Drosophila melanogaster: one gene and its partners. Changing the gene in region 1 together with any one later gene gives a genetic interaction. Each region holds a gene or a part of one and is shown in the gene's direction. Other genes may lie near its edges. The genes, in order: ovo, snf, sqh and mle.

Region 1 (7,069 bases):
AAAACAAAAAAAAAAACAATAGAAAAAAGATCGCCAAACTATTTCCATACATTCCATTCAAGATTTTATTTGAATTATTTTTTTTTAAATAATCTAAACAATTGTTTCCTTTTTAAATTATGCAAAACCGACTTTTGCTTGGCAACGCACCTTTGGCTTTCCAAACTAATAAACACAAGACATTTTACCCATTTCTGCACTTTGATATATCAAAATAAATCAAAAATACACTACTGATCATTTTTTTCGAGTGTACAACACCATCGCACAATGGCAAGAACTACCAGCCAAGAAGGAGTGAATGAGATCGAACGATCCAAGCGCATTGAGGCCCAAAGGAACACATTCTTAAACACAGCAATTACCCAGCGAAATGGGCGACGGCGGGCAAAGAGGGGTGGGGGGGGGTGTCTCTCTGCCCGTGGAGCAGAAGATGCAGACACTAACAACGAGAAAATTCTGTTGGCTCCGTGGGCCCTCTTCTACGCCCATACCGCCCCCTTCTTGGAACGAACCCCACCCAACCTAAACAAGAACCCAACTACCAAAGCCAAAGTCAAGGCATTAACAGCCCAGTGAACACACTCACACACTTGCCATGTGCAATTCCACACTTACGTACATCGGTATAGATGTATACATATAGACAAGATATATATATATATATATGGATCTGGCAAGCAGTGTCGGTCGTGGTCTATACCTTTGGTGGCCTAGGTCTGGGCCAACAACAAAAACCAGCTCGATTCTCATTGGGTTCGCAATCAAGAACTTGAGATTCGCTTTTGGTTAGAGATCTCGATCCACTATCTGAACTTTGGGCTTATATTATAGTCGCTTCAATAACCATTTTAGAATAATAAAGCTTTAAACTAAACTAGTTGCATTTTAAATTTTCGCTGAGAGTTTTAACTTACTTTTTATCTGCAAGGGTTTCAATTAGATTCTGAAAATAAATCAAAGAAAATCAATTATTATTTCGTATAGAACTATTTGCAAAAAATATATAGACATAATACAAATTCTCGCTTTCAAGAACATTCTATGTACACAATGTACATATAATCAAATCTTTTAGTACAACCAAAATCTGTGCATATTTTCGTTCTGGACCAGAACACTTGCATTTTGGCCAACGAGCGGCTTTTTGAGTGAGAGTGAAGTTGGCGCAGGAACAATGCAGCAACAACAACGCAGGGGGGGGGGATGTTCTTCAGAAGGCTCCACCGACCGAGAAGAAGAAGAGCCAACGGAAAACCTCTACTAACGCCAACATCATGACATTAACATTGCCGCTGCCTCAACGGCAAAGTCACAGTCAAAGCCAAAGTTAGCAACAGGTTTTCTGTGCCTGCCACTTCGGCCTCAGATTCTCAGAGCCGCTCTTTCTCCAATTCTCTCGCGATACACATCGATGCACGGAAATAAAATGAGTTTCAGATAATTGAATTACAAATTCTACCGATTATTTTCAATCAGAGGCCAACATTTTAAAAATGTGTTATTTCTTAAAATTTTAACTTGATATGAAATTAAAAAAAAAAAGGATTAAGTTGATCCTCAGTTTTATGTTATTATTCTATTAAGTTTTGAAGGGGCAGCGCACTAATTTCTTATGGTGCACCTCTCTCACCTGCGAACGAGGCTTCGTTTTCAGTTTCGGACGTGAGTTCGTCTTCGTTTTTACCTTCGGCTCGTTGCTCTCTCTCTCTCTACCTCCGCACACCAGCTCAAAGTTAGCTGTAAATTTGTTACGTCGCCGCAAAAGAGCGTATGCGTGCGTGTATGTATATGAGTGTGTGTGCCACACAGGTGTGCGACGCTCTGAATTCGCCGTCGCTTACATCACTTGCTCTCCATGTGTGTGTGTGTGTCGGTGAAATAACGTTAGTTATCCGTTGGCAGCGCACCTGTGCGGGTTGAAAAGAGATGGAGCTAGGCCTTCTTATTTGCCATTCTAAGCGCATTCTAAGCGATCTTCTCTCACACATACAAACGCATGCGCACAAGGATTTAGGGGAAGGAGAGAGCTGGTGAAAGAGAGAGAGAGAGAATGAGACGCACACCTGAGAGCGAGAAATGCCTGCGTTGCCAACTATTTTGCCGTTTAATTTCGCTTATATGGGTACATTTTTCCATCTTACTTGCCGCTGTTGCTTCTTCTTATTTGGCTCGTTATTTCTTCTTATTGTATTTACCGCGGTTCTCTTTCCATCGTTGTACACAAACACACTCGCACAGATATAATAATGATGAAATTCTTCAAGGGCCACAATCATGCCTCCTTTTTTGGGGTTCTTTTTATCGAAAATCAAATGACTTAGGAAACAAACTAGCCAGAATATTTAATTATAATTAGGAGGATATTTAAAAACATTATTTGCAAACTATTTCATTTAAACAAATCGTTTTAATAATTGATATCTATTGATAGGCTTAAGAACATTTAAGAAAAATATCTATTTAAATTTAGCTTTAATTCAATTATTTTAAGATGTGCTGTAAATACAAAGTCCTTAGTTCGAAAGTACAGTACAAAATTAACAAAAAATGACCGGAACATAAATATTTATATTGAAATTTTTCTAAATTTTCTATTAATTTGCCAATCCAACCAAATTCTAAGTACCACAAGTACAGCTCGCGGTATCGGGTAAAAACGATCTCAGCCGGCAAATGGCCAAGGCGAAGATTCTTGATCATGAGCGTGATCATCATTATCATCACTACCTTGACTCTGAGGAGGGAAAGAGAGGGCGCGTCAGAGAGACAGAGAGAGAGCGCGAAACTGCATGAGAAACGTTATGTGAGCGAAATGAGGCAACGCACACAAAACACTCTCACTCTCTCTCACACAGGTGCGCTTGGTTCGCCGTTTCGCCGCTGTTTTTCTCACCTGAGCAACGGCGAATATCTCGTTATTTTCTGACTCATACGAAAGGGAAGTTTCGCTCTTTCTCTCTCTCTCGATTTACGGTGTTTTAAATTCGCCGTCTAACTGAGTTTGTTGTAGCGGCGAGATCGATCGGTTGACTTTGGTTTGGCCTAACTGACTACCTCGAATACAGTAAGTTGCGAGCCGGCGTTGTGAATGCACGTGTTTTCGCTTAACTCACCTGGGCGAATCCCAAAGACCAAAGCAAACCATTAAACTCACATAAAACAATACAATTTATAAAAACGAAAACACTGTGTTGTGCATCAATCAATATAGTAATATATTGAATTACATCCATACAAAACAGAAACAAAATTTTTTTTGAGTAATATTTTTTACAAGTGCGCTGAATAACACAAATAAATCAAGAACCCAACAAGTGTTTGAAAACCCAAAAAATAAATTGGGAAAAACAAAAATTTCTCATAACCGAATATTTTTTTTTTTTGAAAACTTGGGGGAAAAATCAACACTTTTTTCGACAAGTCACCGAAAACTTAAAAAAAAATTGATTTTTCAAAAAAAGAACCAAGACTCGACACTGCCGAAAAGGCAATATTTTTCAAGTACATTTTTTCGAAGTGTTTTGACAAAACAAAGCAAAATTCTCGAACCAAAGAACAAAATCACGAAAGGACACCCCAAAACAATCCCTCAATTATAATTGACTTGACTTTGACTTGCAAAGCCGAAGAACTTTCAAAAGACATGAAGAGGGCAAAACAGAAGTTAACTTGAGCTCGGCTCATGACCAAATCAAAACTGAAATCAAGCAATTTTTTTTTTTTCAACACAGTGGACGAGCGGCGAACAAACATACACACACAATTGGATTAGTGTTTTGTTTATTTCGGACCCACTGTAACTGTCCCTCGTCCACCTGAAAATACGAAGAAATTCGTCGCCTCCTTGAATTCGTCGCGTGTCGCCGTCGCGTTTCGTTAAATCGCTTATCGTTCATCGCAAATCAACCGATAATCCATCATGCCGAAGATTTTCCTGATCAAAAATCGCCTGCATCAGCAGCAACAGCGCTTGCTTGAATCGCAAAACTTGCTGCAGCACAAGAATCAGGATGATGAGCGCTTGGTGCCGCCCCTCAGTCCAAGTGGGAGTGGTAGCGGCCCCTCGCCAACGCCCACATCCCAACCACCACCGGAACCGCAAGGTCAGGGGCAACAGGTGCTCGGACAGGTGCCCGATTCAGATCAACAGCCACTGAGCCTCACGCGCAAACGATTCCACCATCGTCGTCACTACTTCGGACAATCGCGCCACAGTCTCGATCATCTCAATCAAAATCAGAGCCCGAATCCAAATGCAAATGCAAATCCCAATCAAATACAAAATCCTGCGGAATTGGAAGTCGAATGCGCCACTGGCCAAGTTCAAAATGGTAAGTTGAACTTTTCTAAAACAGAGTCTAAAAATCTTTTCGCTGCCTTATACATAAATACACCTTTAGGAGCGATTAAATTTCCGTTTGCCAAACCGTTGTCACATAAATGCGTTCTGTTACTTGTTTGGAATACTCGAAGCACAAAATATCAAAGAACAACGCAAAGAATTTTAATTTACTTGGATAAATAATTGCTACAAATCTGTCAGTCAGTTTTTTTTTTTTTTTTTGGCCGATGGCAAATCGGCTGGCAATACAATGCGCCATATCTATTGCCTGGAAATCTTTTCAAATTTCAAGCTTCACTTTTGGGCAGCTTTTGTTATTGCTTTTCGCCCACACCATAACGAACTCGTCCCCAGTGTATCTTTGTATCTTTGTATCTATATCTGCCCTGTCTATCTTCCATTCTCCAAAACGGAGCTATGGGTTTACTTCGACATCAATCACTTTCATTGAATTTCGTAAGCGTATTATTTCGTTTTATTTATTTTTTTTTTTTATTTTGCCAAAAAAGCCAAGCAGAGTTCTCATGTCTCTGTTCTGATCTCTGTTTTCTGTTTTCAGTTTTCTTTTTATTTTCTGTCTGTTTCTGTTATATAATCGCCCAGCATGCTTATTAAGTCATTTCGATTTAGGCGGTGGTCTTAGGTTAAAGGTTTAAAATTTTCATAAATGATTAGGCGAGAAGAACTTTCTTCGTTTTCGGGGCGAGTTTTATTAATTAAGTTCTTTTCGATTTTATTTGAAAGTGAATTTCGTTCAGCGTTCTTTTGGCGTTTTTTTTCGCTAAAGTCTTTTGTTTCTAAGCATTTTTTAACTGCCCTTTGTCTGGCCTTAATTATATCTATATTTTTATGCAACCATTATGGCTCGACTTCACTTCAAGAGTAGCTTCTCTCACACGCAGCCTCATAATTTTGCCCCTTACGCAGGCATTATATTTCATGGTTATAGCTTATATATATTATTTTCACGGAGCGCGTAGTTGAGTGCTATATACAACATTTATTAAATTAAATAACATGTTACGTTCTCGGTTCCTCCCGGTTTATCGCCAAGCCAACCAAGTTCCCTTCATCATCTCTATCGCCCATCCACTTAAAAATGTATTATGAACGCTTCCGCTGTATAATTTTTATGAGTTCTGCGGATATTGTAATGGAAGTTATTTGAAGGGAAATCGTTTCGCAACGTTATATTCTCAAAGAAAAAATTTTTAAATTGGATAGAATTACACAGAAGTTGGTGAGCTCATCGGATTCGCATAACTTCATAACTAACACTTTGAAGTTTTAAGTTCCAACTTTGATCAATCTATGCAGGATTTAATATTATTTAGGTCTTGCACTCTAAACATGTGTTCTCATGCTGCTCTGATTTCAAAGAACCCTCTGGTCACACTGCTTGTTCACTTTTTTTTTTTTTTGTTCAATTACCGCTCGCTGTTCGTGTTTTTCTTGGCTTTAGTGGGCTGTGCCCATGGCCAAGAACTTCACACACTTGAGCGCACACTCACACACTAGAGCGAAGCTAGAACGAACGAAAAAAAAAAAATTATATAACTACCAAAGTACAAGGTACTAAAAGCCAGATACAAGAAAAAATCTCCTCTCAACCACGCAAAAGTACAAGTTTTGCCAGAAGATGAAGAACCAAAGCCAAAGCAAAAAGAAACGGAAAAAGAAAAAGAAAAGAGTGCGGAGCAGAAAAAGAACTTCATTTTGTTTGGTTTTGCAGCCTAGACTTGAGCTAAAGTTCCAACTACACACAATGACTAAGAAGATCATCATGACGATCATGAGAGCCAAGTTCAGTTGAGGAGGTGGAGCAGGAGAAGGTGGTTTGGGGATGAGGACGTTGGGTGGGGTGCATTGTAGGTACGTCGTCTGCCATTTGGCCTAAGCAAAGTCAAGGCAACTGGCCATAATAAAACTTGTAGAACCAGTCGAATTGAAGACTGGGGAGAAGAAACTCACCAGAAGAGGCAGGAAAGGCAAAAGAACAGAGCTTGTGAAATGCTAAAGGGCCTTGGAGGATGAACATTGCTACAGGAGAAAAAGCAAAATGCGAACCAAGATGCTCGAGAAAAGCGAACCAAACCGAACCAAAACGAACCGAACTGAACTTCATGCATATATGGACAAGAATTCCTCCTAGTTTCTTCGCCCGCCACAGCTGGAAGTTATGAGCATAACTTCCTGTTACATTTTCCTCTATCTTCAGTCAGCGATCTTTATGCCGCGAATTTCTCTCGGGCCACTAGTAAAAGTTAATAAATAACCGAAAGGAAATTCATTGATCGACCGATCGGCGATAAGGAAATTTCCAAAAATAAAGGAGAGCGATCAATGCAAATTCTGCAGCTGTTAGAACTGCAAGTTCAATTGCACACACAGAGCTTACACGCAGATGTTGCAATCCTCGAGCGGAAGTTAGCGAAAGGTTCCCTTAAAGACCTCGCGACCCTTCTCCAGAGACAAGTTCAGCGAACCCTCTCCAAACAACACTCACCATCTCAAACAAAACCAAAAAAAAAAAAAAATAAACACAGACGACGACGAGTCAAAAGCAAAAGTCAAGTGGTAAATGAGGTAAATGGTAAGGTAAATGCAAAAAGAGAAAGACAAGGGGGCAGTAGTAACAGAAAACAAAACCCAAAACCCATTACTTCATAGTGCCAGTGCTGAGATTTTCTTCGGAAATCAAATCAATTCTATTGTTTATTCAAT
Region 2 (5,892 bases), 260 kb from region 1:
GTGGCCATTGGCGAGTATGCTGGACAGGATGGTGCCGACACCTACTGCATGGACAAGTGTCTCAACTATGAATCGGAGTGTCCGCCGGACAGATGCCGCTGCTACTAAACCGGATTGCGAGCCACAGCTGTGCTGCCCACCCATTGCCCATGCGGAGGATGCGAGATGCGATATGCGAGATCTAATGAATTGAATTTAATCGAAGACACTGCTCTAAATTGTTTGAATTTCAATGGCTTGGCAAGGGGGGGTGCCTCCGTTTGTTGGGCTTTCCGTTTCAGTTCTCAGGCGTCACCGCAAGCCTTACTTACTCCCTCCTGTACGCGTCGTACAGAAAGGGTCGGGTGAATGCCTCGAGCAGCTCGCGCTGTTCGCGCAATCGTCGAGTCTGCGCCATCGGCGACTCAGCGATGTCGATGTTCCGCCGGGCACGGAAAAGTGCCGATACCGTGCTGCCCAGCTGCTGCCAGCGTTCGAAGGCCCGGGATTCGGTGTGCGGCGCATCGAGCATTACTTTGGACGACATCACTGATGCCGACAATTCAGCGATCTGTGCAGCAGCAGCAGCAGCAGCAATGTCTGTGCTGTTGGTTTCCGGTTGAGGTTGCTGTTCAGATTCCAGATTGAACTGAGATTGGGACTGGAGGTCGGGCTCCGTTTCCGGCTCAGATTTGCCAGGAGATGGCAAGTCAACGGACAGCTCATCGGGTGGCGGCATTGTCTGACTGAAGATGAGCACCTCGGCGCGCTCCTCGCGAGCATCATCCTCGCTATCCTCCAGGGGCAGGGCGTCGGTGCTGCCGCTAACTAAATCCCGCACGTGCGCAAAACTGGAAGCGATGCGACGCAGTGAGGGGTCATCCTTTTCCTTTTTCGTCGGCATTGCCGGCGCATCGGCATTGGTTTCCACCGGCGCCTTCTTGCTGTAGGCAGCATCCATTGTGGTTGCTTTGGTGGCGATGACATCGCCGGCATTGGTCGTCTGCTTCTGGCGCATCCTATGCAGATTTATGCTGGAAAATTTGTTACCATAGCTTTGACGCATCTCGGCGCGCTTGCGACGCGCCTCCTCCTCCGTCCTGGCCGCCTGTTGGTCCCTGGCCATCAGTTGCTGCGCCTTTGACATCGTCTAACTCCAAACAGGAAAACGAAATACGGCAAATCTTTAGTTAACACTAGCAAAAAGGAAAAAAAAAAAAAAAACAAAACAAAACACGGACCGAAACGAGCGCTGAGAATTTCGAGAGTTTCAAATGTGCGTCGATTGACTTGGTTACCAATTTGTTTTCAGAAATATAAATACGGTAGCGTGCACTGGAACAGCTTTTGCACAACCTACCAGGATCCTATGTACTACTAATTAACTACTCAATTTTCGCTCGCTTTCAATCACATCTTTAATAGATCATCCTCAATCATCTTAAGCATAGTCTTAACAACTCATGTTGGGTGGCGAAAAGGTTTTGCCAAGCGAGAAAAATTCATATCAATTAGAATGGAGTGGAGCTTTTGGAGTGGATGCAATGCATCCTTAAGCCTTTCAATAGAACTTATTGTGCATGTCTGCGGTGAACAACGTAACGCGATCACAAACATCAATGTTATAATGGAAAGTGTGTGTTAACTGAGTGAGTGTGTGTGGGTGTGTGTGTGTGTGTGTGTGTGTGTGTGTGTGCTAGAACTGCAGCCGCTTCTTCTGGGCCAATCCATTGCCCCTCACCGTAGTCTCGACCAGCTTGCGCTTGAGCGCAGGCTTCGTGTCGCCGGTCTGCGGATTGGCGCCCTCCTTGGCGGCCAGAATGGCCGACGGCATTGGCAACTTGGGACCCACTGTGGGCGCCGGTTTGTTAGCGAAATACGGCATGCTCAGTGCCTCGCGGCAGGACACACGCCGCAGCGGATTCATGGCAAACAGGCGTTGCATCAGATGGATCAAGTCATTGCCCGCGGCGGTGAATATATTGTCCAATGGTGTGCCCGGAAAGTTGCGAAACTGCAGATAGTCGTGCAGTTTGCTCAAATGCGGCCATTCAGCTTCCGTGGGTGTTCCCAGTGTGGAAAAGATCCGTGTCAGCTGATCCAGATCCGAATCGCCCGGCATGAACGGCACTCGCAGCATAAGTTCAGCCAAAATGCAGCCAACTGCCCACATATCCACACCGGTGCCATATTGTCGGGCGCCAAAGAGCAATTCGGGCGAACGATACCAGCGTGTGACCACGTGGTGCGTGTAAATGCGATTGGGCGAACCGAAGGACTTGGCCAAACCGAAATCGCCAATCTTTAGGATGCCATCGCTGTTGACCAGCAAATTGTTGGGCTTCAAATCGCGGTGCAGTATCCAATTGAGATGCAAATACTCCAGACCCTTTAGCGTCATGATGGCATAGGCCTTGATGTTCGCCTGCGTTAATATAATCTTGTTATCCTTGATGATCACCTCCAGATCCGTGTCCATGAAGTCGAAAACCAGCGAGACATTCGAAAGTTGACCGAAAACGTCCACCAAGCCAATGATATTCTCGTGCTGCAGCTCCTGCAATATCTTGATCTCACGCAGCGCTGTCCTGTTGATACCGTCGCGTGCATCCTCGCGCGATCCCTTCTTGATCTTCTTTACGGCCACAATTTGGTTGGTCACCGTGTCGCGCGCCTTGTAAACTGTGGCAAACTGCGGTGCGAAAGTGGAATGCGCACATTGTTATGGATCGTTGGGTTGATATTCCGTGGCGGCGGACTCACCTGACCCTCGCCGAGGAAGGATAGCTTGGCATAGCGTTCCGTTTTGTCATTCGCATTGGGCAGCATCGTTTAGGAGCCTCATAAATAGCACGAAAATGACTGAAATGCTGCGAGGCCGAATCAAAACAATTCAAGTTCGCAAACGCTATCGATGGCCGATAACCGATGGACGCCGGTAGGGCCTATCGCGCGCCCCAAAAAAAATACTAGATTTCAGAGTCTATTAAGAATAATGCAAAAACAGCGTATTGCTCCTTTATTGCTAATCAATTTTATAGTTTAACAAGTTATGCAAATAATACACAACTGTCAATTTAAATTAGCTGCATGTGATTGTCATTTAATTTTAGCTACTTTTAGCTATGTGCAGTTTAACAACACTGCCAAACACCGGTGCGATAACATATCGATAGACCGCCCCAAACGATGCCTTCTGCTATCGATGACAGACTCGTTTTTTTTCTCAACAATACAGAGCAAATTGGTTGATTTTTGTCGAATTAAGTGAATAAAACGCACGACAGGATGGAGATGCTACCCAACCAAACGATTTACATCAACAATCTGAACGAGAAGATCAAGAAGGAGGAGCTAAAGAAGTCGCTCTATGCGATTTTCTCGCAATTCGGCCAAATTCTGGACATTGTGGCCCTAAAAACGCTCAAAATGCGCGGCCAGGCATTTGTGATCTTCAAGGAGATCGGCAGCGCTTCGAATGCCCTGCGCACCATGCAGGGCTTCCCGTTCTACGACAAGCCCATGCAGATCGCCTACTCCAAATCCGATTCGGATATTGTGGCCAAGATAAAGGGTACCTTCAAGGAGCGCCCCAAGAAGGTCAAGCCACCAAAACCAGCGCCGGGTACCGATGAGAAGAAGTGAGTATCCCAATTGCTAATTGGGCCCGTTTAGATTCAATCATTTGTTGCCAACGGCCATGGTGCTACCATTTGTTGCTCCCTGTTGCCTCGCAAAAACCCAATGTTTTCATTCGCACGCCTGAAATCCTTTTTGCTACTAAAAACATTTCCGCATTAACCAATGTTAGTTTTTGGCCAGAATTATGGACTTGAAAACCAAGAGGTGTCTCAAGTCTTCATAATATCTTTAGTTATCAACTCCTTTTTGCTCTTTAATCGATGCGATTTGAGTTTCAGTTGCAAAATGTTTCATTTTTGTTCATTTTTGCGCGACAAAAATCCGTAGTAATCCTAGTTTTCTGGGATGTGCGAATGACTAGGCAAAAAAAAAATGCAACTTCATGTGACACTAAGACAACTCCTTTTTTTTTCGTTTCGCACAGGGACAAGAAGAAGAAGCCGAGCAGCGCCGAGAACTCGAACCCGAACGCACAGACCGAGCAGCCGCCGAACCAGATCCTCTTCCTCACCAATCTGCCCGAGGAGACCAACGAGATGATGCTGTCCATGCTGTTCAATCAGTTCCCCGGCTTCAAGGAGGTGCGTCTTGTGCCGAATCGTCACGACATCGCCTTTGTGGAGTTCACCACCGAGTTGCAGAGCAATGCCGCCAAGGAGGCGCTGCAGGGCTTCAAGATTACGCCGACGCACGCCATGAAGATAACGTTCGCCAAGAAGTGAACGCAACTCCAGTCGCCGGGCGTTCCAGCAACTCCAATAATAATTTAAACTATAGAATAAATCGATATAAACAAACAAACTACGAGTATTCCATATGCCCATATCCCTCCCATATCCCATTTCGCCCAAAGATCCTTAAAGGCAAAAGTATAGAATAGAATAGTTGATTGTTTATTGTGTAGATCTATTTGTTTGTCTGCAAACTTATAACTAACAGCTAGTAATGCGTATTATTTATGTCGGTCGATTGTACATATTTCCATTTAGTGTATAGTATATGGTGTATAGTAGTATATATATATATATATATAGCGTCCCTTTGCTCAGTCTGCATGGTGTATCAAGCTCGCTGCAAAATCAACATCAGTTTGGTGTGCGGGAGCGTGTGTTGAGTAAGTCCCACAAGTCCTCGGATTCCCAAAATGTTTGCTATATGTAGAATCGTTCAGCGACGTAGTCCTCCTCCGCCGTAACAACATCATCAGGCTTACAATTGTAATGCAATCATCATACTTTAGGCACCACAAATGATGAGTATTATGAGTGTGCATAATAAATCTGGGATAAGTGTGTGTATTATATATATATATATATATATATACATCGATAAGTGTGTGTGTGTGTGTGTGTGTGTGTCTATGTATATATATATATATATATCTATTGCTTTCTTCCGTTACGTCTGTTGAATGATGAGCTGCAGGAGAAGGAGCAGGGAATCGGTTATGTGACCACAATGCTTGCACTCCGGCAATCGTACTTACATACATATGTTGTCGTTATGTTCGGAGTGTAATGGTACTTTTGCCTAGTGCTCCAGAACGGCATTCTCGTCGTGGGCGGACACCTCATTAACGTTGTTGTTGTCGTTGTCGCTTTCACTGGACTCGGCGGTCAGATCGACAATGCATTCGCCATCGATATGGACGGCCTTAACGTCGGCCGCTTCATCGGTATAAACGCCGGCATGCTTCTCCATCAATTTGGCCAGCTTATCGGAATTGCAGCCAACGAAGAGCTCCAGCACATTGCCGCCCTTGATGAACACAAAAGTGGGCATGCTATTCACATTGTATTCGACCGTAATGTCCTCGTTCTCGTCCACGTTCACCTTGAGTACGACGACACGGTCCGAGTACTGCTGCGCCAGTTCGTCCAGCTTGGGTGCTATTATCTTGCAAGGTCCGCACCAGTCTGCATAAAAATCAATTACCACCAGCTTGTCCTCGGCGAGGATTAGCTGCTGGTCAAGATCGTCCTTGTTCCGCACTGGGTACACCATGACTTTAACTAAATTCCAAACGGATTGCAAATCGAAACGAAACAAAAAAAAAAAAAAATGGGAAGAGAAGAAAGAAAAAAAAAAGGAAAATGTTAGAAAATCTTGTTTTGGGTGTAAAATTCACTTGATTTGTTTTGTTACTTTTGAATTTTAATGGAGCTCTGCCCTCGCCGAGATATCAGCCCGAAATGAAAATTGTAGGGCGGCAGGCGTTCTTTTATACAGTTTTCGCCAAATATTTTGCGGCCTTCTTGGATTGAAAAAAAA
Region 3 (6,807 bases), 1.2 Mb from region 1:
GAGGCATTGGATGAGCCGCGCTGCTCGGAGCCATCCACATAAACAGAGCTGCAGGAGGAGGAGACCTGAAAGAAGTTGATTGGTTATTTAGCTAGCAATTGCACGATTCACAGTCATCAGACGCACCTTGATTACACTTTCATCTTCGGCGTGACAGGAGCTCTGTAGCGTCACATCGGCCACCTTGCCTGCCTGCGAAACGATGAACACCTTCATCGCCTGGGCCACCTGTCTGCCCGTTAGCACCGCCGTGTTCATCACCTCCCAGATTTTGGCCATCGGTAGCACCGCCTGAATGTCATCCTTGTTGATCTCCAGCTTGGCAATTAGTCGCTTCTTGTTGTCATCGGGTATAACCAGTTCCCCGGAATCCTTGTCCTTTGGCGTGTCATAGACATGCGTCACGGACCACACAATCTTGCCACCGTCCACAATATCATTGGTGTCCTCGGCCACCTCGAGCAGCCATGAGAATACTTCAAACACCTCGCTGGTTAGGTTGCCACCACTTTCCAGACTGGATTCGGCCTCTTTGCGGAAAGCAGTAACGCGAGCGGTAGTGTGTTTGGGATTTTCCTTCTCTACAGAAACGCTCCATTGGTCTGTGGAGGCGGTGGCGCCCAGAATCTTTAAGCCCGCCTTAACACGAGCTCTCACAGTGAAGGCGGCCACCCGCTGATCGGGATATTGATGTAAAAAGACGGGCACATGTAGACGGGAGAGTGGATACAGCGGATGTTGTGGCAGGAGAAAGGTGACGGCATCATCGGCGCGCAACATACGATAGGGAGTCCTGGCGGCCAACAAAGGCACCTGGGCGAATGTGGTCAACGGTTGGATCTGCACCTTCGGCTCGCATTGCTCGGGATTACGCAAAGGCGGTTCAAAGACACTGTACGAGACCTGGGCATACCGCTGCGGTACTTTGGGTGGCGCCTGACCACTGCCATCTTGTGTGGGCGCCGGCAGCTGGGGCCACCAGCCCAGGGGCACGACCACTTCGGCTACGCAGACACCGTCCTCGCCCTCCGGCATGCAGCGTCCTTTGAGCGGCTGCTCCGAACCCATCGCCACGTGCAGGAGTACACAGACCTTCTGGCGCTGCAAATGACCACCCGGATCGGCTCCGGCGTGGAATAGTACCCGAAGCACGGGAGCATCCTGCGATACACTGGAGCGAACCAAATGGGCGGATATGTCCAGGTGCATATTTGGCTGCTGGAGCTCCAGTAGAGTGGCATTCTGTGGGAGAGAAAGTGGTATGACAAGGCGTCCTTTTGTTGCTTGCCAGGATTTGGGGATAACTCACGTTCATATAATCGCCCGACTGGCTGTCCATTGTGTCCGGCACAATGTAGCGGGCTGGCACCGTTTGTTTCGTGGAAAACGGTCCATAGCTGGCGCGTATGGACACCGGCTGCGTGGTCTCGACCACAGTGAATCTGTCCAGAGATAACACGGAATCATAGGAGGATCGTTGCCGTAACGGCGGCACCGCCGAGGATGTCTGCACATTGGCGATCTCCGGCGTCACAGGTGGTTGGCGGGCGTGCTTCAGAAAGAAGCCGCTGTCCGGCGCCTCGAAGTGCACCTCCACGGAGTCTGGCGAGGATTCGGCATGGATTTGTTATGGGTTGGGAGTAGATGAAGGAGTCAATTAGTTGAATTTTGGTAATGGTAACATAGGGGTTGGGGATTTTCTTAAACCCGGAGGTCACCCACTCCTCCTTTATCCCCCTCCCACTGGCTTACTCCCTCCTCCCACTCCATCGCTTTTTTTGTACCACCCCCCTGGGTTTGGAAACTTTATTTGATACTTACATGCCAACGACAGCTGCAAAGCAATTATGAGGCAGTATCTCATCATCTTGTTCGTGTGCAGGAATCCAAAATATATCGAAATCCTGAAATCCTGTGCCCACCCACTCGTTAATTTGCTAATTAACTGTGCCCGCACTTTCGTTATTTTCACTGTTCTCTCGCTTGTGTGGCTTATTTGACCGTTATTCCGTTAATCGTGCCAAAAGTCAACCGTTAATTCGCGCTGGCTAGCACTTTTCGTCCTTTTTTCTCGCTCAGCAATCCGCAGCACATCCTTTATTGATTCTTTCCAGTGTGCCCACACACCCACACACCAACACACACTCACACGCTGCTCACACACACAGCCGTGGGCCACCTCACACACAGATACACATGCACATGCAGGTATAGACACATCTTCTCCTGCAAATCGCGCAGTTCAGTTCGAAATTAATTGGACCGCAACCGTGCCAATCGATTCGATTTTTCACTCGACTCGCTTTTCACGCGCTGGCAAGGATCTGCTGGGCTGGAAAATCCCTCGTTCGACGCCCTAATGCATGCCTCTTTTCATTCAGGTCTCTCAGAATTTTACACAAATATCGAACATTCCAAACACTTTGCAGTGTGTCCATACCGTATTGAAAACAATATCCTAAGATAGTGGTACTACCGTATTTGGAAGTGCTGTAATATGGGGCTGCCAGACTGTGCGCATACTCCTGAAACTCCAATCAGAACGCGGGCAATTCAAAAAGTTAATACCAAAAAAAAAAAAATACCATGTTTGACAGTGAAGAATAAAGAAAAATAAAATTAATTGGGATTGCTTAAGAAAATTTTTTGAGAAACTTTAGATTCTACAAGAAAAGAGCTTCTTAGGAACGAATATTTTAAAACAAGATCTGGTAGCACAACTGACAATAGGTTTTTAGGATTCTAATAGCCATGGTCCTAGTCTCAGTAGTATTCACATTTGTAATATAATTTTATATTTTATAATATAATTTATAGTCTTAATATTTATTTATTTTAGGAGCTCCAACAATTAGCACTTTTGCACAGTAATTTTTAGCATATTCTGCGGTATTTTCTGATAAATTGAAACCGCCTCTATGCTGGTCACACTTGGCCTTCTCGTCGAACCGAAATTATAAAAGACAAAAGTGCAGCTGGTCGAAAGTTGCATTAACGAAACTTCGATAGTATTAAACACTCGGCATTCGGCAGCTGTGAGTATGAATCAAATCAGGCGTAATCAAGCAATCATATTCGATAAAATAAACGAACTGAACTCCCAAAGGGCGCTGCCCTATGTGAGTGTGCGTGTGTGTTAGTGTATGCGTATGAGTCAGCGTCGGCAGCGCGCAAATGAAAACAATTGTTTTTGTGCTATAATTCCATTTAAATGTCCATTCGAAAGTGATAAATCAACGAAGTCGCAAACATTTGGCCCAACTTGAGTTCTCGAGTGAATTTGGGTGCTTCAACTGCGGTTTTTTTCTGGCCTTTTAAGGCTTTAATTGAAATGCGTGTGCCAGTGTGTGTGAGAATGTTTTCAATGAGCCAAATACGTGTGCGATGTTGTTTTTGTTAACCGCAGTTCAACAGCATTGATAAACTCGCATACACATGCACGCACTGGCGCAGAGCGAGAGCGAAACTCCCATACGTGTCATTTTCGTTTGCGCGAGTGACTCAGAGAGCTGCGCATGTGTGCGTGCATGAGTCGTACTCACAGTGGGCGCCCGATAAGGTGGACTTGTAACTGTAGCGGAAGCATGGAGCCATCGAACTGCTTTTGCATTATCCTTTCTGGCCTAAAACTGTATTAAAACTATTTATTTATAAATATAATTTGTAGTTCGCCCATTTTAGGCAATGGCCAAACCTTCATTCCTTAAAAAACCTTAAAGAGCAGCAATAAGATGTTCTTTCCGTTGTGATAAGCATATGCATGGTGTACTCACTGTAGCGAGCGTCCACTGTATGTTGACACAGTTTGTTTGGGGAGCAATGAAAATCGGTTTCAGCGGAATTCGCTGCAATATGTCTATATATAGCCATAAATACATACCCGGCCAACGAAATGCTAATGTGAGTCGGCGTTTTTCGATTTCAGATCCACGCCGCACACACATCACTCCAGCGCGAAGCACTAGTGCCACCAGCTCCATAGGCCGGCTCCATTTAGCTCCATTAACCGCATCAGAACCACCAATCCAACAGCAACCATGTCATCCCGTAAGACCGCCGGACGTCGCGCCACCACCAAGAAGCGCGCCCAACGCGCCACCTCCAATGTGTTCGCCATGTTCGATCAGGCGCAGATTGCCGAGTTCAAGGAGGCATTCAACATGATCGACCAGAACCGTGATGGCTTCGTCGAGAAGGAGGATCTGCACGACATGCTGGCCTCGCTGGGCAAGAACCCAACGGACGACTATCTCGATGGCATGATGAACGAGGCGCCCGGGCCCATCAACTTCACCATGTTCCTCACGCTCTTCGGCGAGCGGCTGCAGGGCACCGATCCCGAGGATGTGATCAAGAACGCCTTCGGCTGCTTCGACGAGGAGAATATGGGCGTCCTGCCCGAGGATCGCCTGAGGGAGCTGCTGACCACCATGGGTGATCGGTTCACAGACGAGGATGTATGTTGTCAAGTTGTTTACGATATCAAGTCGGAGTGTGCCCTTACAACTTCTTTTCCATTTACATTCACAGGTGGACGAGATGTATCGGGAGGCGCCCATCAAAAACGGTCTGTTCGACTACCTCGAATTCACGCGCATCCTTAAGCACGGTGCCAAGGACAAGGATGAGCAGTAAGATCGCCAGCAGTCGATTCACTAGCCAGCTGCCTCTCCAATCAGCCTGTCCAAACTATCCATCATGAGTTTCGTTTTGATAATTTAATATATACAAGTATAAATATTTTTTTTTTTTGGTTTCGCGCCTTCTGTTCTTTGATTCCTGATAATCCTGTACTTATCCGTGCATTTGAATTAAACAAAAAGTAGCCAACACCAGCGATTGTTATGTACGACAGTGTAGTGTGTGAGATGTTGGTGCCAGATAACACGATTTCCCGAAAAACTCCTTTCATAAGTATTAACTCATTGAATATACATATATATTACCTATATACAAATACATACTTATACAAGAATGTGGCAATAAACCTTTGTTTTTCTTACACTCGAGAACGTGCGCACGTCCAACCAAACAGATGTCTGCAGAAATCCTTCAGCCAAAAGCAACTGATCAAACAAGGGAAACTTTGGAATATGTACCCCCCATGGCTAATTAAGCATGATCACTAGCACGATGTGATAAGTGTATGTAGCTTCAAATGTGGCGGGAAATTGAAAGAGATTTCGGAAATTAGTCAAAATTTTCTTGGAATCTTCGACAAGCTGACTAATGAGTTCATGTCCAAAAGACTCGAACTTGCAAACTCATATCTTATCTCACATTATTTTTGATTCGAAGATATTTCAGCTTCTGCAAATATATGTTTTTCAAGAATTTATTTAAAAAAAAATCAATTAAATAGATGGCTTAATGTTCGAAACACTCAACGTTGTATATTACACACTTTTTGGACAACTATTAATTTAAAAGAAAACACGAACATTTGAAAATCTAGAAAGACACGGACACAAGAATTACAAACCAGACAAAGAGGCGTCTAAACACTAGGCAAATTCTATGTACAAACAAGGCGCTACGACTACAAATTAATGGTTAATGGTTAATGGCCTCTGCAGCAGGAACCATCACAGCCCGCGAAGATTACTCCACCTTCTTGGCCAGCGGAGCGGTGTCGAAGTGGGTCTTCCGGCTCGACCTGGCCCGATAGGCGTCCCTCACCTGGTTGATCACATTGGCGAAGAGTATTGTGCCGAAGAATACCAGGATGGTGCCTACCCAATGGTTTAGGGTGAATGGATTCCGGAAATAAATGATCGAGAACAGCAGCGAGACGAACTTGCGCAGGGTGACCACCAGCGTTACGGTTAGCGATGCACATTCGGTGGTCAGAACGTAGACGGCACTGATGCATACATACTGGGTGACCACGTTGCACAGCAGATAGAACAACATCAGCGGGAATTTCCACTCCAGTCCAATGGCTCCCAGCAGTGGCACGGCCACTGGTTCCGATGACCATGCGATACCAAAGTGTTGGACTATATTGCCGGCCATGATCAGAAAACCGGGCAAAGGTAACATGTGCGTAAAGAATAAGGCCTCGCTGGGATGCTTGCCGTATTTCTTGTATATCACCTCCTGGTAGATGCCCATGTAGGCGGTGACCAGCAGGGCGATTGTCAGCAAGCCAATACCCACCGTCCACCAGAAGAAATCGGAGTAGGATGTATCCACCTTGAGGCTGTGATGTGTATTATCCTTGACATCGCCACTGGAGACCAGAGTGCACAATATAATGCCAGCCGTGATCATGGCCACGGAGCTGTACTGTCGCAGATTGTAGCGCTTCTTCAGCAGCACAATGCCCATGATCATGTTGGCCATCAGTGATCCGCTACGGAAGATCATGTGCAGCGGCATGGGTATGTTAAAGTTGAAGGCATAGTTATTGCAAACGTTCGCCCCAAAGAACAGGGCCACCAGGATGACGTAGTCCTTCAGCGCAATCTTCGGTCGCACCGTAAAGAACTTGGAGGTGAAGACCAGACCCTCCAGCGCGATGAACAGGAATTGGGCGAAGGTGATCAGGTTACCCGCTCCCGGATCGATTTGAATGATCAGCTCCAGAAAGACCACGTTGCTGCAGCAGCCGATGAACACGAACAGCATGCCCAGCAGGGCCTTCAGGTTCAGAGCCATATCTGAAAGATAAATATGTATATGTTTAGAAATTTTAAAAATATGAATGGTTATAGGCTATTAAAATCCAGCATCTTGACAATCGATGTTAGAGTACGTGTTCAATTTTAAATTTTTTTTAAACTTTTTGTCAAGTGTGTTTTTTTT
Region 4 (10,221 bases), on another chromosome or scaffold:
AATGAAAATTAAAATAATTTAATATTTAGATTCTCGCGGTATTTTAACTCATGATTTTTTTGTCGTTAATGCTATGAATTGCTTTATCAAATGTACCCCTGGGATTTGTGATAGTGCCTGCGTCCATAACATATGAAAGTAGTTGGAAACGCGAGAAGGTGTTCCTTCAACCGCACAGCAAGAAGAAAAATGCTACAAACGCCGTTATCAAGCGATTTGCACTTATTATCAGACACTCTCTCGCATTCTTTTGCTTACACCAACATAAATAGCTTACCTATCGGCTTACTCACTCACATTCTGTTTCAACGCGAGCTGTTAGCGATCTATATATTGTTTGCAAGTTAATTTATTTGTGTTTGGGCGATATTTTAGTTTCATTGGAGATACCTGTAGCGTTTCCACATAAGCTTTTGACGTCATCTAATTCTCAATCAGTATACCTTTAATAACCGAATTATGGGACACACCGGAGAGTTATTTTTTTATTTCATCTTAGCTAATTAGGATGTCCGACGCTCAACCGCACAGAAAAAGCTAATAATTTGAATTTTACCTCTGCTATATCGATTAAAAATTCGTTAGCCAAAATAGTACATAAAGTAAAAGTTCAAAACGCTGCCAGGACAAAATTCGACCAACTACACTCTTGTCTAATTTGTTTTTATTTTAAAGTTGCATAGTCATATTTAGTCTAACAAAATAAATAATATCTTTATCGAATGAACATTCTATATCTGTCCAAAACTGATTTTCAATACAAATTCATATATTTGGAAAATAAGTTTAATTCTCTTTTGTGTGCACGATATTTTTTGAGTTTTTAATTACAAATAAGGAAACGCCAACTTTTTTGTTCGCGAATAAGGCGTGCGTGTGAACGTAGCAAAACTCACCTGCGTGTCATTCAGTATCTCCAAGTGCTCTCCCTTGCGGAAGCTCAAATCCTCGTCGGTGCGGGCGTCGTAGTCGTAGAGGGCGACAAAAATCTTGGCGTTGGCACCTGCCGTTTCGCTCTCCGGGATCTGGGGAACCGGACGTATCTGCTCCGGTGGCTGTCCGGCGTGTGAGGGCATGGGGATTTGTGGCACGCCCACTCCGACTCCGATGGTGGGCGGGTCGTCCAGCTTGATTCGATCTGCGGGCTTGTCGGGTTCGCCCTTCTGTGTGGTGAGGCAGTTACCCATTGTTGGATGAGTAGTTGTGCTGCCGCCGAGACTGAGTACTAAATGCAATCAATGGAAGCCAAATTGCAGCGCTTGCGTTTACTGTTACTTTCACTGTTTGTTTATTGTTTGTAGCTGCGAGATCAGCGCTTGGGTGTTGGCACTAAACGCCGCTCTCACTCGATCCCCTCTTCACTGACTCTCTGCACTGCTTACAATTTGTGCAAGTTGCTATCGCCTTTTCGCTCAACTCTGTTTTACTGGGCACTAACGAAATTAAATGCTTGCCCACGACCAAACGTGTGCCTGTGTGTGTGCGTGCGTGAGTGTTTTCTCACTTTTATCTACATTTGCTCGTGTGGGTGTGCGTGATGCTGGACTGCTGGCAACCAACAAAAATCCAGCTGTGTACCGGCGTTGGGGCCGCAAAAAAGAATTCAAACTAGGCGATTAAATGGGTGACTCGCGATTGCACTATTATTTAGTTGGGCTGGCATCCGTATTCACATTTTAACTCAAATATCGTCCTCTTTTTCCCATCGCGTTGCAAAAAGCTGTGTGACCAGTACGCGGACTCGAGAAATACCAAAAGACTGGGGCAAATATACTATAATACTGAATTTCAGTCATCATCTTTAAAATACTAATTTATTTCAACAGCTTGGATATTTTTATTTGAACAGAAATCAATGGTCGTGTCGCTGGTCAAGTTTAGTGGTCTTCTTGGTGCCAGAAATGACTATTTAATATATGATTATTTATGCTGATTATTATTTTTTTCATCGTAAATTAGCGTAAATTATTTAAGGATTCTAAGACCTGCTATGATATGAGGAATCTTTCTTGACGGATTGAAGGGCATAACATAGTCATATGATATCAATTATTCGATAATATTCTGTCCTACACATCTTACGCAAAAAACGGCTCAAAATTCGTCTACCAATTTGAATTGGAATTCCGTTTCTTTTGTTTTGCAATATTTCATTTATTACTTATACATAAAAGACTTCTCGGCACATAGGCATATACGTCAATTCAAAACAAACAGAACTGCATTACAACATAACTCCCTGATACAAGCTCATCCTTCAACATACCACATCAAACTCCTTTCAACAACACCACATCACACAACAGGAAAACGATATTTCTTATTAACAGTCTCAGGCTTGATCACATCAACCTTACAAATGACCATTACAAGAACAGGTCCCCCATATATATGTATATGTATTTATATGCGCTCTTTGCAACCAGTTAGACGTTAATCCCATCCTAGCATACTGTTCTTCCCTTTCGCCACATAGAACAGTTGACATCAACACAATTAGAAACTTTTTAAAAAGCTCCAACCTAATTTAAAAAATATAAAATGGAAGGTGCTAGCTGCTAATGCATCTAGGTTTCAGTTACCTTAAAATTTTATACTCTACGTTATATTTAAATAAATAAATAAAAGTATATATATAAGAAATTTGTCTGTTTATTTATAGTGCAATATATACAAATATGTCTAAGTCTCTCTATAGGTTTCTTTTATTTTAGATTAAATTACATTAAATGTTTTTATATCTACACACACTGTTCTATTTTATCCGTTCCTATTTTGATAGGCGATTCAAGACGCGTTAGTGTTTTGTAAAGCAACAAAAAAATTAATCGATATCAGAATAGACATCACAAAAGAAATAAATTTAATTTGAGCTCCGTAGTTGATAGAAAGTTTATTGAAAATCTAAGAATGGATATAAAATCTTTTTTGTACCAATTTTGTGCTAAGTCGCAAATAGAACCAAAGTTTGATATTCGCCAAACGGGTAAGTGGTTATGTTGCACTCCCCCAGGCGTGTTTCCCAAGTAGCAGTTTAATTTATAGGTCCCAAAAATCGCCAGCGGTTCCTTTGCGAGGTTCGTGTAGAGCCAAATACCTATATTGGTGTGGGTAATTCCACTAACAAAAAGGATGCCGAGAAAAATGCGTGCCGTGATTTTGTCAACTACCTAGTGCGCGTGGGCAAACTGAACACCAATGATGTTCCAGCGGATGCTGGTGCTTCGGGGGGCGGACCTAGGACTGGTCTGGAGGGTGCGGGCATGGCAGGGGGCAGTGGACAGCAGAAGCGAGTGTTTGATGGTCAGTCGGGTCCACAGGATCTGGGTGAGGCCTATCGCCCTCTAAACCACGATGGCGGTGACGGCGGTAACCGCTACTCAGTAATTGATCGCATCCAGGAGCAGAGGGACATGAACGAAGCGGAGGCTTTCGATGTCAACGCTGCCATCCACGGTAACTGGACCATAGAGAATGCCAAAGAGCGACTGAACATTTACAAGCAGACGAACAACATTCGCGACGATTACAAATATACACCAGTGGGCCCGGAACACGCTAGGTATGTGCTTCCTTTTCAACTTTCTTCGGCCTGCATTTCGGATTTGACCGAATATGGCCTACGGCCAAATCTGAAATGCAGCCCATAATCATGTCGGGCTGTGACCAATTTGATTTGTGCAGAGCAGCGCCGGCAGAACGATGTGGTACGATACTCCGAACTACAAGAACCACGTCCAGCTTCCTTGCGTGGGGTCTGTAAGCAAAACGGACGCCCATGCAACGCGGCTTAGCTGACAATAATTCAAGCGCTGACTTTCCAGCTGCGTCTAACACATTAGTACCACGCCGTTCTGTCGGCTGGCTCCTTCAGCAGTCCGTAGACTCCCACGATAGCCCGAGGGTAAGTTCCGGATTTGATCTACATTACCAGTCCAGATTTTTTCAAAAAGTTCTTTTAATGTAGGAGCTTTTTGGCCGAATTGTCCATTTATGTGCCGGCGCTCAATCGCACGGTGACGGCCCGTGAGTCGGGTTCAAACAAGAAGTCTGCCAGCAAGTCATGCGCCCTGTCCCTGGTGCGCCAACTTTTCCATTTAAATGTGATAGAGCCCTTTAGTGGAACTCTGAAGAAAAAAAAGGATGAGCAGCTGAAGCCATATCCGGTGAAGCTTTCGCCAAATCTGATAAACAAAATTGATGAGGTGATTAAGGGTTTGGACCTTCCTGTCGTAAACCCGCGCAATATCAAAATCGAACTGGACGGTCCTCCGATTCCTCTCATTGTAAGTAATACGAAACTAGAAAACTAAAATAAAAATGTATCAGCAATTTGAATTAAATTTCTTATCTCAGAGTATTAAAAAACAGTTTAGAGATTTTATCAGACAAAGACTATTAGCTAAATGTTGTATACCGGTTTCAATATTCTTGATGACATCCAACAGTACTTTATAAAGTATATATTATTATATTGATTTACGTAAGTCATATACTTAGGAATACGCTAGTAACTCCCACATCGTTCAGTCCCTCAAAAATATTTGATATGCCGAAACAACAATGCAAATACTTTAACTCGATTAATTTGTACTGCATACTTGGCTGTAACATTTGTATTTTTTCTATATATAGCTCTCAATACGCGTCGACAGACACCATAATCGACCTAATCCAATTCTGTGTTCAAAAGATATTTCAAAGAAGGTTTTACGCTACGTTAGCATAACTAAAATCTGCGTCTTTAATCTTAACTTTCAAGCTTTTGTTGTGATAGACTTGGCTAGTGATCTTGAACAAGATTATTTCTGTTATCTCTTACATTCATACCCTTACTATATGAGCATAGGAATACGCTGCCCTACCCAAACCACCTTTTTTTTGCGAACAAAAAATGTAGTGTACGATGTAAAATATTTTCTCCTAGGTGAACTTAAGCCGTATAGATTCCTCGCAACAGGATGGCGAAAAACGTCAGGAAAGCTCCGTGATTCCGTGGGCTCCTCCTCAGGCAAACTGGAATACGTGGCATGCCTGCAACATCGACGAAGGCGAACTGGCAACCACCTCTATTGATGACCTTTCGATGGACTACGAACGCTCGCTGCGTGATCGCCGCCAAAACGACAACGAGTACCGACAATTCCTCGAGTTCCGCGAAAAGCTGCCCATTGCAGCGATGCGGTCGGAAATTTTAACCGCAATTAATGACAATCCAGTGGTAATCATTCGTGGAAACACAGGGTGCGGAAAGACTACCCAGATTGCCCAATACATTCTTGATGACTACATCTGCTCCGGCCAGGGCGGGTACGCTAATATTTATGTGACCCAGCCTCGTCGCATTTCAGCCATTTCTGTGGCCGAGCGCGTAGCTCGCGAGCGGTGCGAGCAATTGGGCGACACTGTAGGCTACTCGGTGCGATTTGAGTCTGTGTTTCCACGACCCTACGGCGCAATCCTCTTTTGCACCGTGGGTGTGTTGCTGCGCAAGCTGGAGGCTGGCTTACGAGGAGTGTCGCATATTATTGTGGACGAAATCCACGAGAGAGACGTGAACAGCGACTTTTTGCTGGTCATCCTTCGCGACATGGTCGACACATATCCGGACCTGCATGGTAAGCTCGAATAAGGTGCAATATTTCTAACATAAATCCGTATGTATAACCTGCATTCAAATTTCTTGGGGTGAAACTCTTCGACAATTGTTGATTATACTTATATATTTATATATACATACATTTGTATATATGTATTGTATATATACATACATTTACATGTATAAAAAGCAATGTTGAGCAGATTTTGAGCCGCGAAAATAACTTATTTTGCACTAATTCACTGGCTTAATTAATGAAGATTATGATTATATTGTTTGTACCGGATCCGCCCAGAGTGTATATGTTATGTTCTTAATAGTCGATTTGTCAGTTTGTTCCATTGAAAATTTGCATTGCCAATTGTTTGTGTTTCATATTTAATGTAGAGTTGACTTGCCAAAATTACTTATGCCCAACAAAATTACTATTCAGAACTTAAAACTTATATGCATTACGGGTCATACATTTCTAGTCCTAATTTAATATGATATGACTTTTAGAAAACACTATAATTAATAGAAACTCTTCTATTGCAGTTATTCTTATGTCGGCCACTATTGATACAACGAAATTTTCCAAATATTTTGGCATCTGTCCCGTATTGGAAGTACCCGGAAGAGCATTTCCCGTGCAGCAATTTTTCTTGGAGGACATTATTCAGATGACAGACTTTGTGCCTTCGGCGGAGTCGCGCCGAAAGCGCAAGGAAGTGGAGGACGAGGAGCAATTGCTTTCCGAGGACAAGGACGAGGCGGAAATCAACTATAACAAGGTGTGCGAGGACAAGTATTCACAAAAGACTCGAAATGCTATGGCCATGCTATCCGAATCGGACGTTAGCTTTGAGCTGCTGGAGGCATTATTGATGCATATTAAGTCAAAAAATATTCCCGGTGCTATCTTAGTATTCCTGCCCGGTTGGAACCTGATCTTTGCGCTTATGAAGTTTCTGCAAAATACAAACATTTTTGGTGATACATCCCAATACCAAATTTTGCCGTGCCACTCGCAGATTCCACGAGACGAGCAACGCAAGGTTTTCGAGCCTGTTCCAGAAGGCGTAACCAAGATTATACTTTCTACCAACATTGCAGAGACTTCTATAACTATTGACGACATTGTTTTCGTAATTGATATATGTAAGGCGCGCATGAAGCTCTTTACTTCACATAACAACCTAACCAGCTACGCCACCGTTTGGGCAAGCAAAACCAATTTGGAGCAGCGCAAGGGCCGAGCTGGACGTGTCCGACCAGGCTTCTGCTTCACACTCTGTTCGCGTGCCCGCTTCCAAGCGCTAGAGGACAATCTTACGCCGGAGATGTTCCGCACACCGTTGCACGAGATGGCGTTGACCATTAAATTACTCAGACTGGGCTCCATTCACCACTTTTTGTCAAAGGCATTGGAGCCACCTCCGGTAGACGCAGTAATCGAAGCTGAGGTGTTGCTTCGCGAGATGCGCTGCCTTGACGCTAACGATGAACTTACTCCATTGGGGCGCCTGCTGGCACGCCTCCCAATTGAACCAAGACTTGGAAAGATGATGGTCCTCGGCGCAGTATTTGGCTGCGCCGATCTAATGGCCATTATGGCTTCGTACTCTAGCACCTTCTCAGAGGTGTTTAGTCTTGATATAGGTCAACGTCGCCTGGCAAATCATCAGAAAGCGTTGAGTGGTACCAAATGTTCCGACCACGTGGCAATGATTGTAGCTTCACAAATGTGGCGGCGCGAGAAACAACGCGGTGAGCATATGGAAGCTCGGTTCTGTGACTGGAAAGGACTGCAAATGAGTACTATGAACGTTATCTGGGATGCCAAGCAGCAGTTACTGGATCTCCTTCAGCAGGCAGGATTCCCAGAAGAGTGTATGATATCGCACGAGGTAGACGAAAGGATTGATGGGGATGACCCCGTGCTGGATGTGTCCCTGGCGCTGCTGTGCTTGGGTCTCTACCCCAACATTTGCGTGCACAAGGAGAAGCGCAAAGTGCTGACTACAGAGTCTAAAGCAGCGTTACTGCACAAAACCTCGGTGAATTGCAGCAACTTGGCCGTCACATTTCCGTATCCGTTCTTCGTTTTCGGCGAGAAGATTCGCACGCGAGCTGTTTCCTGCAAGCAACTATCTATGGTCTCGCCCTTGCAGGTGATATTGTTTGGATCGCGCAAGATTGACTTGGCCGCCAACAATATAGTGCGCGTTGACAACTGGCTTAACTTCGACATAGAGCCGGAACTTGCGGCCAAGATTGGTGCCCTTAAGCCGGCCCTGGAGGATCTTATCACGGTGGCGTGCGACAACCCTTCCGACATACTTCGCCTTGAGGAGCCCTATGCACAGCTGGTCAAAGTGGTCAAAGACCTTTGCGTTAAGAGCGCCGGAGACTTCGGACTGCAGCGTGAATCAGGAATTCTGCCGCACCAATCACGTCAGTTCAGTGACGGCGGAGGACCGCCCAAACGAGGTCGCTTTGAGACAGGACGCTTTACTAACAGCAGCTTTGGTCGCCGTGGAAACGGCAGAACTTTTGGAGGAGGATATGGAAATAATGGAGGAGGATATGGAAATAATGGAGGAGGATATGGAAATATTGGAGGAGGATATGGAAATAATGCAGGAGGTTATGGAAATAATGGTGGATATGGAAATAATGGCGGAGGTTATAGAAATAATGGTGGAGGATATGGAAACAATGGCGGAGGATATGGGAACAAGAGAGGTGGATTTGGAGACTCATTTGAAAGCAATAGAGGATCAGGCGGCGGCTTTAGAAATGGCGACCAAGGCGGCCGCTGGGGTAACTTTTAACGGATACATAAAAAAAATGTATTGGTTTTTTCAAAAACAAAAAGAATAATAAACATTACTATTCGCATTTCGATATGCTGAAGGGATTATACAAATAAGACGCATTGAATCTTTTGGTTTTTTGGCATTAAATACGCATGTGCGATCCGAATAGATTCACGAGTTAACGTATGTAAATAGTAACCAAATATGATAGTTCCGCTGACATTCCCTAACCTGTTGCATACATACATATATTGCTGGAATTTCGTTTGTGAAGGCGTGGAAATCGTTTATTGTCACAAAATGAGATCAAAAACATTCATTCTATAAAGGCTTTTGGTGAACCTGTGTAATCATTATTTTTTATCTCTGCTAGCATTTTAGACGATTACTGATTTCGCAATTAGACCTTTTTAAAACATATGTCATGACAACAATATATACAATAAAAAGCCATATATATGCAAAACATATTTCGTGCCTTATCAAAACTCGAAGGGAAAAGAAAAATTAATTATTGTACAGATATGGCGGTGATTTTAAAATATCATAATTTTCGAAGCAATAATGAAAGTTGATCAAATAAATATTAGATCACAAAGATTTGAGGAGCACCAGAAATGTAATAGTAACTGGAGTAAGCTGTTCTTACGCTTCTTTTTTACTGGTCAAGATGGTGAGCTTCGTTACCAATTAAAAGTGGTGGTCAGTGATGACGTTGTGTTGCTAAGCAATTCAATTTTTATCGTATGTATTTCGGCTTCAGTGAGAACAGTTTTTCAATCGAAGTATCGATACGACACAATTAAAAATATCGAAAGAGCGTAGTATCATTCATCTCTAGCATTTGCTTCGGCGCGTAGTTTTTGTTTAACCGATACAAGACAACCAAAAGTTTCAGGTCATTTGCTTGAGGAGAACGATATGGACTTTGACAATGCGAAAGAGAACATTCAGCCGCTGGCCAGCGGTCGCAATGTGAGCCTTCTGCAGGCTTCTCTTAGCCAGGACTCCACCCACGGCCAGGAACTGCTGGCACAACGCAAGCAAATGGAGGAGGAGGTGCGCACCTACAAAGGCGCGGATCCTCTCGGTGCCTGGTACACGTTCATCTGCTGGATCGAGCAGAGCTATCCGGCGGGGGGCAGTGGCTCCGGTCTGCAGACTGTCCTACACCAGTGCCTCACCAAATTTGAAGACGACGAGCGCTACCGTCAGGACAAGCGGCTTATAAAGCTTTTCATTAAATTCGTGAGTAGCCGATGATATTTTAAACGATCACTCAACCACCGATTTTACTTCGTCACTTTTTAGATGGAGAAACAGAAGGACAAGATCGAGTTTTATCAGCAGATGTACAACAACGGGATCGGAACAATGCTGGCAGATTTCTACATTGCTTGGGCCTACAGCTACGACCTGAGCGGTAACATGCGCAAGGCCGACGAGATCTTTCGCTTAGGTCTAGAGTGCCGCGCAGAGCCCTTAGAGGATCTGAAGGAGGCCCACCACCACTTTGGCTATACGGTGGGCCAGCGCATGCTCTACAGCACTGGTGAAGAGGCCAACGCAGTAAACCAGGAACTTAACGAGCGACGGCTAGCACTGCAATCACTTCATGGTCGCCGGCAGCAGATCTCTAACAGCATCACCGTGGGCAGCATCCGTACCGGAGCAGCAGTTAAAAGCGGCCTCCCAGGCGTGGTTCAGGTGGGTGATTTTTTATTTCATGTTTACAAAGAACTTGGTTGGCTAGAGAAATCGGTTTCAAGTATAATTTTGCTTTTATAACTTATGTTTGATGCATGTTTAATGACTATCTTC

Evidence for each region.
Region 2: of ovo (region 1) and snf, changing one enhances a phenotype caused by changing the other (phenotypic enhancement), as found in Drosophila melanogaster (one study listed by BioGRID).
Region 3: of ovo (region 1) and sqh, changing one suppresses a phenotype caused by changing the other (phenotypic suppression), as found in Drosophila melanogaster (one study listed by BioGRID).
Region 4: of ovo (region 1) and mle, changing one suppresses a phenotype caused by changing the other (phenotypic suppression), as found in Drosophila melanogaster (2 studies listed by BioGRID).

The regions. Positions count from the first base shown.
Region 1 is NC_004354.4:5,045,209-5,052,277, forward strand, and holds the start of ovo (ovo), read left to right. Parts: upstream 1-3,064; 5' UTR 3,065-3,922; coding exon 3,923-4,334; intron 4,335-7,069. UniProt on the Drosophila melanogaster protein: Transcriptional regulator with essential functions in the germline and soma. Plays an essential role in regulating the formation of apical cell extensions such as denticles and aristae, and initiating cytoskeletal remodeling during epidermal differentiation.
Region 2 is NC_004354.4:5,306,087-5,311,978, forward strand, and holds snf (sans fille), read left to right. Parts: upstream 1-3,155; 5' UTR 3,156-3,267; coding exon 3,268-3,620; intron 3,621-4,045; coding exon 4,046-4,343; 3' UTR 4,344-4,415; downstream 4,416-5,892. Other genes in the region: CG42749 (uncharacterized protein), read left to right, coding at 1-108; CG17764 (uncharacterized protein), read right to left, coding at 308-1,126; Cdk7 (Cyclin-dependent kinase 7), read right to left, coding at 1,676-2,671, 2,743-2,808; TrxT (thioredoxin T), read right to left, coding at 5,152-5,625. UniProt on the Drosophila melanogaster protein: Binds stem loop II of U1 snRNA. It is the first snRNP to interact with pre-mRNA. This interaction is required for the subsequent binding of U2 snRNP and the U4/U6/U5 tri-snRNP. Plays a role in regulating sex-lethal splicing.
Region 3 is NC_004354.4:6,221,235-6,228,041, reverse strand, and holds sqh (spaghetti squash), read left to right. Parts: upstream 1-2,901; 5' UTR 2,902-3,035; exon of another isoform or gene 3,036-3,345; intron 3,346-3,521; exon of another isoform or gene 3,522-3,631; intron 3,632-3,884; exon of another isoform or gene 3,885-3,925; 5' UTR 3,926-4,037; coding exon 4,038-4,457; intron 4,458-4,530; coding exon 4,531-4,635; 3' UTR 4,636-4,981; downstream 4,982-6,807. Other genes in the region: dtn (detonator), read right to left, coding at 1-65, 127-1,242, 1,310-1,602, 1,822-1,867; Efr (ER GDP-fucose transporter), read right to left, coding at 5,602-6,660. UniProt on the Drosophila melanogaster protein: Required for cytokinesis, could regulate contractile ring function.
Region 4 is NT_033778.4:5,973,384-5,983,604, reverse strand, and holds mle (maleless), read left to right. Parts: upstream 1-2,826; 5' UTR 2,827-2,910; coding exon 2,911-2,986; intron 2,987-3,045; coding exon 3,046-3,562; exon of another isoform or gene 3,563-3,904; intron 3,905-3,967; coding exon 3,968-4,286; intron 4,287-4,927; coding exon 4,928-5,618; intron 5,619-6,136; coding exon 6,137-8,415; 3' UTR 8,416-8,511; downstream 8,512-10,221. Other genes in the region: BubR1 (Bub1-related kinase), read left to right, coding at 9,322-9,648, 9,712-10,107. UniProt on the Drosophila melanogaster protein: RNA helicase component of the male-specific lethal (MSL) histone acetyltransferase complex, a multiprotein complex essential for elevating transcription of the single X chromosome in the male (X chromosome dosage compensation).